Sus scrofa: one gene and its partner. The protein of the gene in region 1 binds, or shares a complex with, the protein of each later gene. Links are inferred from orthologs where the notes say so. Each region holds a gene or a part of one and is shown on either strand. Other genes may lie near its edges.

Region 1 (3,652 bases):
CTCCAGAGCCACAGCAACGCGGGATCCGAGCCGTGCCTACAACCTACACCACAGCTCACGGCAACGCCGGATCCTTAACCCACTTAGCAAGGGCAGGGACCAAACCCGCAACCTCATGGTTCCTAGTCGGATTCGTTAACCACTGCGCCACAACGGGAACTCTGAGAGCTGTATGTCTTAACCATCATCTCATTCCTACTTTCAGTAAAACAGCAATTTGTCTTGTATTAGAAAGGTGGTATTATTCTTTTTCAATTCTTTCTCATCCTTCACAGATAAGCTTATTACTCTCTCCAGAGCTCACTTAATTAGCACAACTATCCCATTTTTTAAAAAATCAAAACTATATCAAGGAAATAAGGTATGAAATACTGCCTTAAGGTTTCTAAGATAGTCAATAAATCTTTATAACCAGTAACATAAAATCAATGTTTCTATACTGTTTCTTCAGCACCACTATAATCTAATATAATCATTAAATATTTTTGCATATAACCAACTTCTAAACTTAAAAAAACAGAACATCATATAATGAAGAAAATAAAGACTAGAACCAAATCTGAAAATTAAAAGTTACTTCATGGACTTTCCAAGTTCCCTTAGGCAGTGTTTGTTAGCCTTGAAATATGTTGTTAGAAGTGTCTACCAAGTGACAACTTAATATAAGGCTCACCTGTTGTGAACTATCAGTTACAGCCTTCATGAATAACTGGTCATATCTAACTACTATCAAGAAGAATTCTACACCAAGTTCTGGTAAAGATATTGGCTAACAGCATCTGTCATTCATTGCTGATAGGAATGCAAAGTGGTTCAGCCAATTTGGAAGACAATTTGGCAGTTTTTTAAAAATTAGTCATGCACTTCCCATAGGATATAACAATTTCTCTGTTATCACACAAGACAAATAAAAACATGTCTACAGACACACACAAAAAAGAATTCTACATGGACTTCTCTTACAGTGCAGTGGGTTATGGACCTAGCGTTGTCACTGCAGTGCCTTAGGTCACTGCTATGGCTCAGGTTAGATCCGTGGCCAAGGAACTTCCACATGCCGTGAGTGTGGCCAAAAAAAAAAAAAAAAGAATTCTACAAAGAAGGCCACTATTTTCAGAATATACTCCAACATTTTAGTGAAGCAAGACATTCTGTTCATTAGGGACTATATTTTTGATGGTATATAAGAAAGCAAATATTTGAAAATACTTTACTAGATTTTAATTTGCAGAGGACTTTATAGTTTCATGTTTCAAAATTTGTTAGGCTAAAATCATTACCTCAAGGTTTATAGCATAGAATTTAGGGACTTTAATCTTTTTTTGTCTACATAATAGAAATTAATCAAATTATTATTATAATTTTTTTTCATTGCACCCGTGGCATATGGAAGTTCCTGGGTCAGGGACTGAACCTGTGCAACAGCAGTGACCCAAGCCGCTACAGTGACAACGCCAGATCCTTAAACCCACTGTGCCACAAGAGAACACCATAAGCCATTTTCTATTCTTTAAAAATGAATTTTTTTACATTTTAAATGATACATATAAGGAAATAAAAGTACCTATTTGGGACATCAATGTTAATAATACAAGTTTCTAAAAGTTCTCCATATAGATCTGTGCAAGATGCAAGAATCCATCTTTGATCATGTGACAAACAGTAGCCCACAAAAAGTACATTATATTTCTGTCCAGCTTCTCCAAATGTTTCTCCTAGTTCTGTCTGTTTATCTTTCACTGGAGCCAGAATAAAAGGAGGTGTATAAAGTCGAATACACTCTGGTCTCTGTAAAATAAAAAATTAAGTTACTATGGCACTATATAATCATAGAAAAAAATTTTATTGAAGATACACACACACACACAAACACAAACACAGAGAGAGAGTGTGTGTGTGTAAGATAACTGAAAAATGAGAGCTAAACAGAGACCTGCATTTAGTTTGGCATAAAAACATAAAATGTAGTCATTCAATAACTTTGGTCATGGAAAACATACTTACATCAGGACTTTTAAGAGCAGTTTCCATGGCTAAACCTGGACCAAAACCAGTCAATGTTTTCACATTGGTTGATGTTGGAAGTGGTCTCCGACACTGAGTAAAGGCCGAAAAAGCTAGGGATTTTAAATGCTGGGTATAGATTTGTCTATCTTCATGCTTCACAGGTTGCAACAGGTACTGACAAGGAACAATCTGAAGAGTTATAAACAAATATTACAAATGTTAAGCTTTCAACAAGAGAATTAAAAGAACTATATGTCTAAAACTCTAACACTTTTAGTATGAAATTTAAACTAGGGAGTTCCCGTTGTGGTGCAGCAGAAACAAATCTGACTAGTATCCATGAAGATGCGGGTTCAATTTCTGGCTTTGCTCAGTGGGTCGGGGATCCGGCATTGCTGTGAGCTGTGGTGTAGGCTGCAACATGGCTTGGATCTGGCATTGCTGTGGCTGTGTGTGGTGTAGGCCAGCAGCTCTAGCTGTAGCTCCGATTCAACCCCTATCCTAAGAGCTTCCATATGCCTCAGGTGCAGCCCTAAAAGGCAAAAAAAAAGAAAAAAGAAAAGAAATTTAAACTAAATTTAGGATGATAATCTAATGAATTATATTTTCTTATCTATTATATAGATATTGTTTGTTTTTTAGGGTCACACCTGCGGCATATGGACATTCCCAGGTTAGGGGTCGAATCAGAGCTGCAGCTGCCAGCCTATGCCACAGCCACAGCAATGCCAAATCTAAGCTATATCTGCAACATATACCACAGCTCACAGCAATACTGAATCCTTAACCCATTGAGAGGGGCCAGGGATTAAACCTGTGTCCTCATGAATACTAGTCAGGTTTGTTACTGCTGAACCACAATGGGAACTCCTATGATATAGATTTTTAATAAACAGTCAACTTTACTAATGGAATATATAAAAATCTTTAAAACATTTCTACATAGTAGTTATACTGTTTAATACTGCCATTGACTAGTACTATTATGGTCTATAAGAAAAATTCAAATTCTCTGCAAACAATATGGCTAATTTCTCTCTACTTTTCCTGCAAACTATCTTATCTAGTACCCTAGCTTGTGAGTCCCTTTTTTTAAATTTAATTTTCTATTTATTTTGGCCATGCCCCTGTGGCATGTGGAATTTCCCTCGCCAGAGATCAAACTTATGCCACAGCAGCAACACAAGCTGCTGCAGTGACAATGCCAGATCCTTACCCAGAGTCACAAGAGAACTCCATGTCTGTTCTTAATTTTCCTAATTAAGCTTATGAATTTAAAAATTAGTTTAAAAAAGTAACACGGAGAAACATACAATGTACTCAAAGCAATCTTTTTGTTCTCTATTATTACTGCGGTATGATCACAAGGTTCTTTTATAAACTCTTTAAGATTTCTGTATTATAGTATCACTTAAAGTAAAAATCAATAGAACCTAACTTTTACAAAATCAATATGGATACAGAATAGTAGCTTTGAAATTTCTGTCAACATTAAAATGTTTTATATAAATTTAACTTAACATTTATCATTCTTACCTGTACAGAAACAGTACTCTTAATATGAGGAGGAAGAGTCTGGACCATTTCCAGAAAGCATCGAAGTAACCCCAAAGTCCACACATTGGAAGAATTAGTGCTCTCATCT
Region 2 (3,752 bases), on another chromosome or scaffold:
TCCATGTCCTCTCATTTTAATCCATAACAAAACATACTCCACATTCCTTCATGGATTTTTCTTATTACTGCTATTTCTGATGCATAGGCTACTCCGCCATTGATTCTTTTAAATAGGGTAGTTTCCTACAACCACGTTTAATCCTGGGTCTTGTTACATCACATGCCAAGGATCAGGAGATTTACCATCCTGTGGCAACTGTACTGCTTATACTGGAAACATTATGACCACCATACTACAGCAGACCACCTGTTTGGGAGTCTTAGCTCCGCTACTTAACTAGCTGTGTAACTTTGTTACCCTTAACATTTTGTGCCTCCGTCTCCTCAACTGAAAAATGGGGATAAATAATCACGTCTGCTTCTTCGGGTTGAGGGTATCAACTGATGGGGTAAAGCAGGACGACGCGGCACGCATTCGATATGTTATGACAACTCTTTTGTGTCATTTCATTTCACACGTCTCTCACCCTTCCCGTCTATCATATTCTAATACTGGGCACCTTTCCTGGTGATGTTCTTTTCAAACCAGATCTTCTAACTTCAAAACTTTGCTACTCCCTGGCTGAGGGTAGCACTTGGGTAAGGTACTTAACGTCTCTCACTTTCCAGTGTCTTACATATAAATGAAAGTGGACACAGCCACCTTCCTTGCACAAGTCTGAATAACACAATGCAGATCAAGTTCCTTGCATGGTCCTCAACAACTAAGGGATACCTCATGTGCATTTTCTGGTTTAAAATATGGGATCCTCACAAAACACCCTAAGACAGGTGTTTAAGAAGCAGGAAACAGTCAAGCCTTGCCCGAAGTTGCAGAGATGGCTACAGGGCAGCACCAAACGAAGTGAACGACGTTTCACTCCGAATCAAAAAAGAATCTATATATGTATTTTCCCCACGAAACCGAAGCTGCCTTTCAAAATCATGGCGCTGGAACTAAATTAATTCATGCTGATTATGTCATTCTAATACGTGAAGATATGAAGCACCAGCAAAGTAAAATCAAATTGCAAAATCAAAATAAAGGCTTTGTTAATACCATTAGGAAGTCGGAGAACCCGAGGGCCCCAGAGTTGGCGACGTGAATGAAATCTGAGCAAACAGAACAGAGCGACGAGCTTCTCCTCCAGCCCCCCAAGGAAAGTGCGGACCGCGGGGTGAGGAGATGCAACTGCCGGGCCTTCGGGGCGACCCCCGCCGCCCCCAGACCCGGAGGAGGCCACGGCCGCACCCGGCCGCCGGCCCCTCCCCCGCGGATCTCGGGGACCAGCGCTGCGCCCGCCCGCCCCTCACCTCCGGCTCCGGGCGCTCCGAGGCCATCACACAGCCCTCCCGCGCCGGCCCGGGCCAGAGAAGCCCTTCTGCTCGTGACCCCTGACCCGGCTGCCTCTCGCCCGAAGGAACCGGAAACGAATGGGAGGATCGAATCCCAACTTTCTGATTGGCTGACTTGGAAACCGGAAAAGGAAGTGGTTGACGCAACCTCTGCTCCCGCGATGCAGGTGAGGACCGGGTTGGCGCTCGTGACCGCTACTCAGCGTCGGGGTACCGGGACGGAGAGTGGGCTGGAGAAAGTGAGGAGCTGGAGCTGAGAGGAGTGGGTAGAGTCATCGGCCGACGGCTAAAGGGACGCGGGATGGAGGCGAGGCCCACTGGAGAGGGAGCGGCACTGATGACAGATGGGGGTGGAGCCCGGCTGGGAGACCGAGACGGCCCCTGAGTTGGGAGGGGGAAGGCGGCACCGACTTGCTGGGGGTGGGAAAGGGTCGGTCGTTTGGGAAGGTTAAGATGCAGTCCAACGAAGACAGCTCAAGAAGGTGCCGCATTGGCTCAGGTCCCGGCCCGGGCTGTTGAATGGCCGCTGTTGGCTGCCGACACAGCAGAGGATCGATAACTGGAGAGAAGCCCGAGAGTGGAAGGAATTGTGGGGCCGCAGTGACAAAAGCCAAACTAATATAGTCTGAGGCCAGTGGCTGGAACCCGGAATCAAGGCTACTGTCTTGTATATTGGCGAGTTCGCAAGGCAGTTCTACCTCCTTCCTAGCCTGTGCCCTGTGGTAGTTAAGGATGAAATGAAGTAAAGATGAAGAACCAAGATGGACAGGAAATGCTTGGCAGACAACCCCTCACCAGCATTTAAAATAGTTTAGTACTTAGGGGCATGTGCATTTTTGTTTTTGTTTTTCATTTGTCAGTTTCTTGCACCTGGTAGTCTGTCAGTAAATTTTTATAGCTTGACTAAGCTTGTGAAAGGGGCACAGGAATTTTGGCACAGAGATAAAATGAGTGCAGGTTAATGGAGTTCCTGTCGTGGCTCAGTGGTTAACGAATCCAACTAGGAACCATGAGATTGCGAGTTCGATTCCTGGCCTCGCTCAGTGGGTTAAGGATCCGGCGTTGCCATGAGCTGTGGTGTAGGTTGCAGATGAGTCTCGGATCTGGCGTTGCTGTGGCTCTGGCGCAGGCCAGTGGCTACAGCTCCTATTAGACCCCTAGCCTGGGAACCTCCATATGCCACAGGAGCAGCCCTAGAAAAGGCAAAAAGACCAAAAAAAAAAAAAAAAAAAAAAAAGAGTGCCGGTTAATTCAGCAAAGAGCTTGAAACAGCAAATGCTGAGGACAGAGGAAAGGGGGAAATGGCCGTGGTGGTGGCAGTGGCAGGTGTTCAAAGGAACCTTCACATGTAGGTAGATTTTTCAGAAATTGTGTCATTGGCAGGAACAGCCAGGCTCCCAAGGCAGGTTTAGGACAGCAGAAGTCAGAGTACCTATGCTGCAGAGTGGCACAAGAGATAATGACCCCGAGGCATTAGGTCTGCTGTGTCTGCTCAGTGAGTGAGAGTATAGTGTATGTGATAGGAAACCAAGCACGGATTAGGGGTGATGAGAGAAAGGAACCAGCAGGTAGGAGGAATTAGGCCAGGCGAGTGGGTTGAAAGGTCTGAGGGTTGGTGCTGTCTATAACCCTGATACCAAAGATAGAAAACAGCCTGGCTCTCCCTGTGCCAGTGAGATCCTGTGTCACATGACTGGTGTTGCGCACTGTCATCCTGGCTTTTCAGCCCGCCTCTGTGGGCACCACCCTCACCCTCATCTGAGTAACATCCTATTCCTGTTGGTGCAGAGGGAGGAGAAGCAGCTTGAGGCATCATTAGATGCACTCCTGAGTCAAGTGGCTGATCTGAAGAACTCACTGGGGAGTTTCATTTACAAGTTGGAGAACGAGTATGACCGGCTGACCTGGTAAGCAATGCCAGGGCAAGCTGGGGAGGGCTCCATGGGTGGGGGGGGCCAGGTCACCAGGTGGATAGGACATTGCCAGTGATGTAAACATTTATCAGTTTGCAAACATCTTTTGATTTAAAAAGAGCTGAGTTTCCCAACGTGTAACACTGAAGTTGGCTTTGGGCCTCCCTGGTAAGGAAGCAGAGAAATGCCCAGTTTTCCAACTCAGGGTCTTTCTAGCTTTTGATTCTCACCCTCTGATGTCTCTGGGAGGAGGTCCTCCCACTTCAGTATTCATATGGGATCTCTTGCCTTGGACGTGGCTGAGTCTTTTAGGTCCAGTCTACTTTGAAAATGTAGATCCTATATTTAGGTCGGAAAGGAGGCTTTTAGCTAGTTTCTGAAGTTTGAGTGATAACAGTGGAGCTATGGTTCCTGTTTTGCCGCTGTTCTCACCCCAGTCAAATACAGCAGCCCCCCTTTATTGGTGGGGGATAAGTTTTAAGACCCCCACTGGGTGCCTCAA

The links.
Region 2: MED13 (region 1) and MED8 share a complex: the UniProt entries of both Homo sapiens proteins name them as parts of the mediator complex. The link is inferred for Sus scrofa from reciprocal best matches to the Homo sapiens genes MED13 and MED8.

What each region holds. Positions count from the first base shown.
Region 1 is NC_010454.4:36,413,722-36,417,373, reverse strand, and holds part of MED13 (mediator of RNA polymerase II transcription subunit 13), read right to left. Parts: coding exon 3,544-3,652; intron 2,197-3,543; coding exon 2,005-2,196; intron 1,789-2,004; coding exon 1,565-1,788; intron 1-1,564. UniProt on the Homo sapiens protein: Component of the Mediator complex, a coactivator involved in the regulated transcription of nearly all RNA polymerase II-dependent genes.
Region 2 is NC_010448.4:167,859,896-167,863,647, forward strand, and holds the start of MED8 (mediator of RNA polymerase II transcription subunit 8), read left to right. Parts: upstream 1-1,467; 5' UTR 1,468-1,498; coding exon 1,499-1,576; exon of another isoform or gene 1,577-1,638; coding exon of another isoform or gene 1,639-1,644; intron 1,645-3,125; coding exon 3,126-3,244; intron 3,245-3,752. Other genes in the region: protein SZT2, read right to left, coding at 1,296-1,322. UniProt on the Homo sapiens protein: Component of the Mediator complex, a coactivator involved in the regulated transcription of nearly all RNA polymerase II-dependent genes.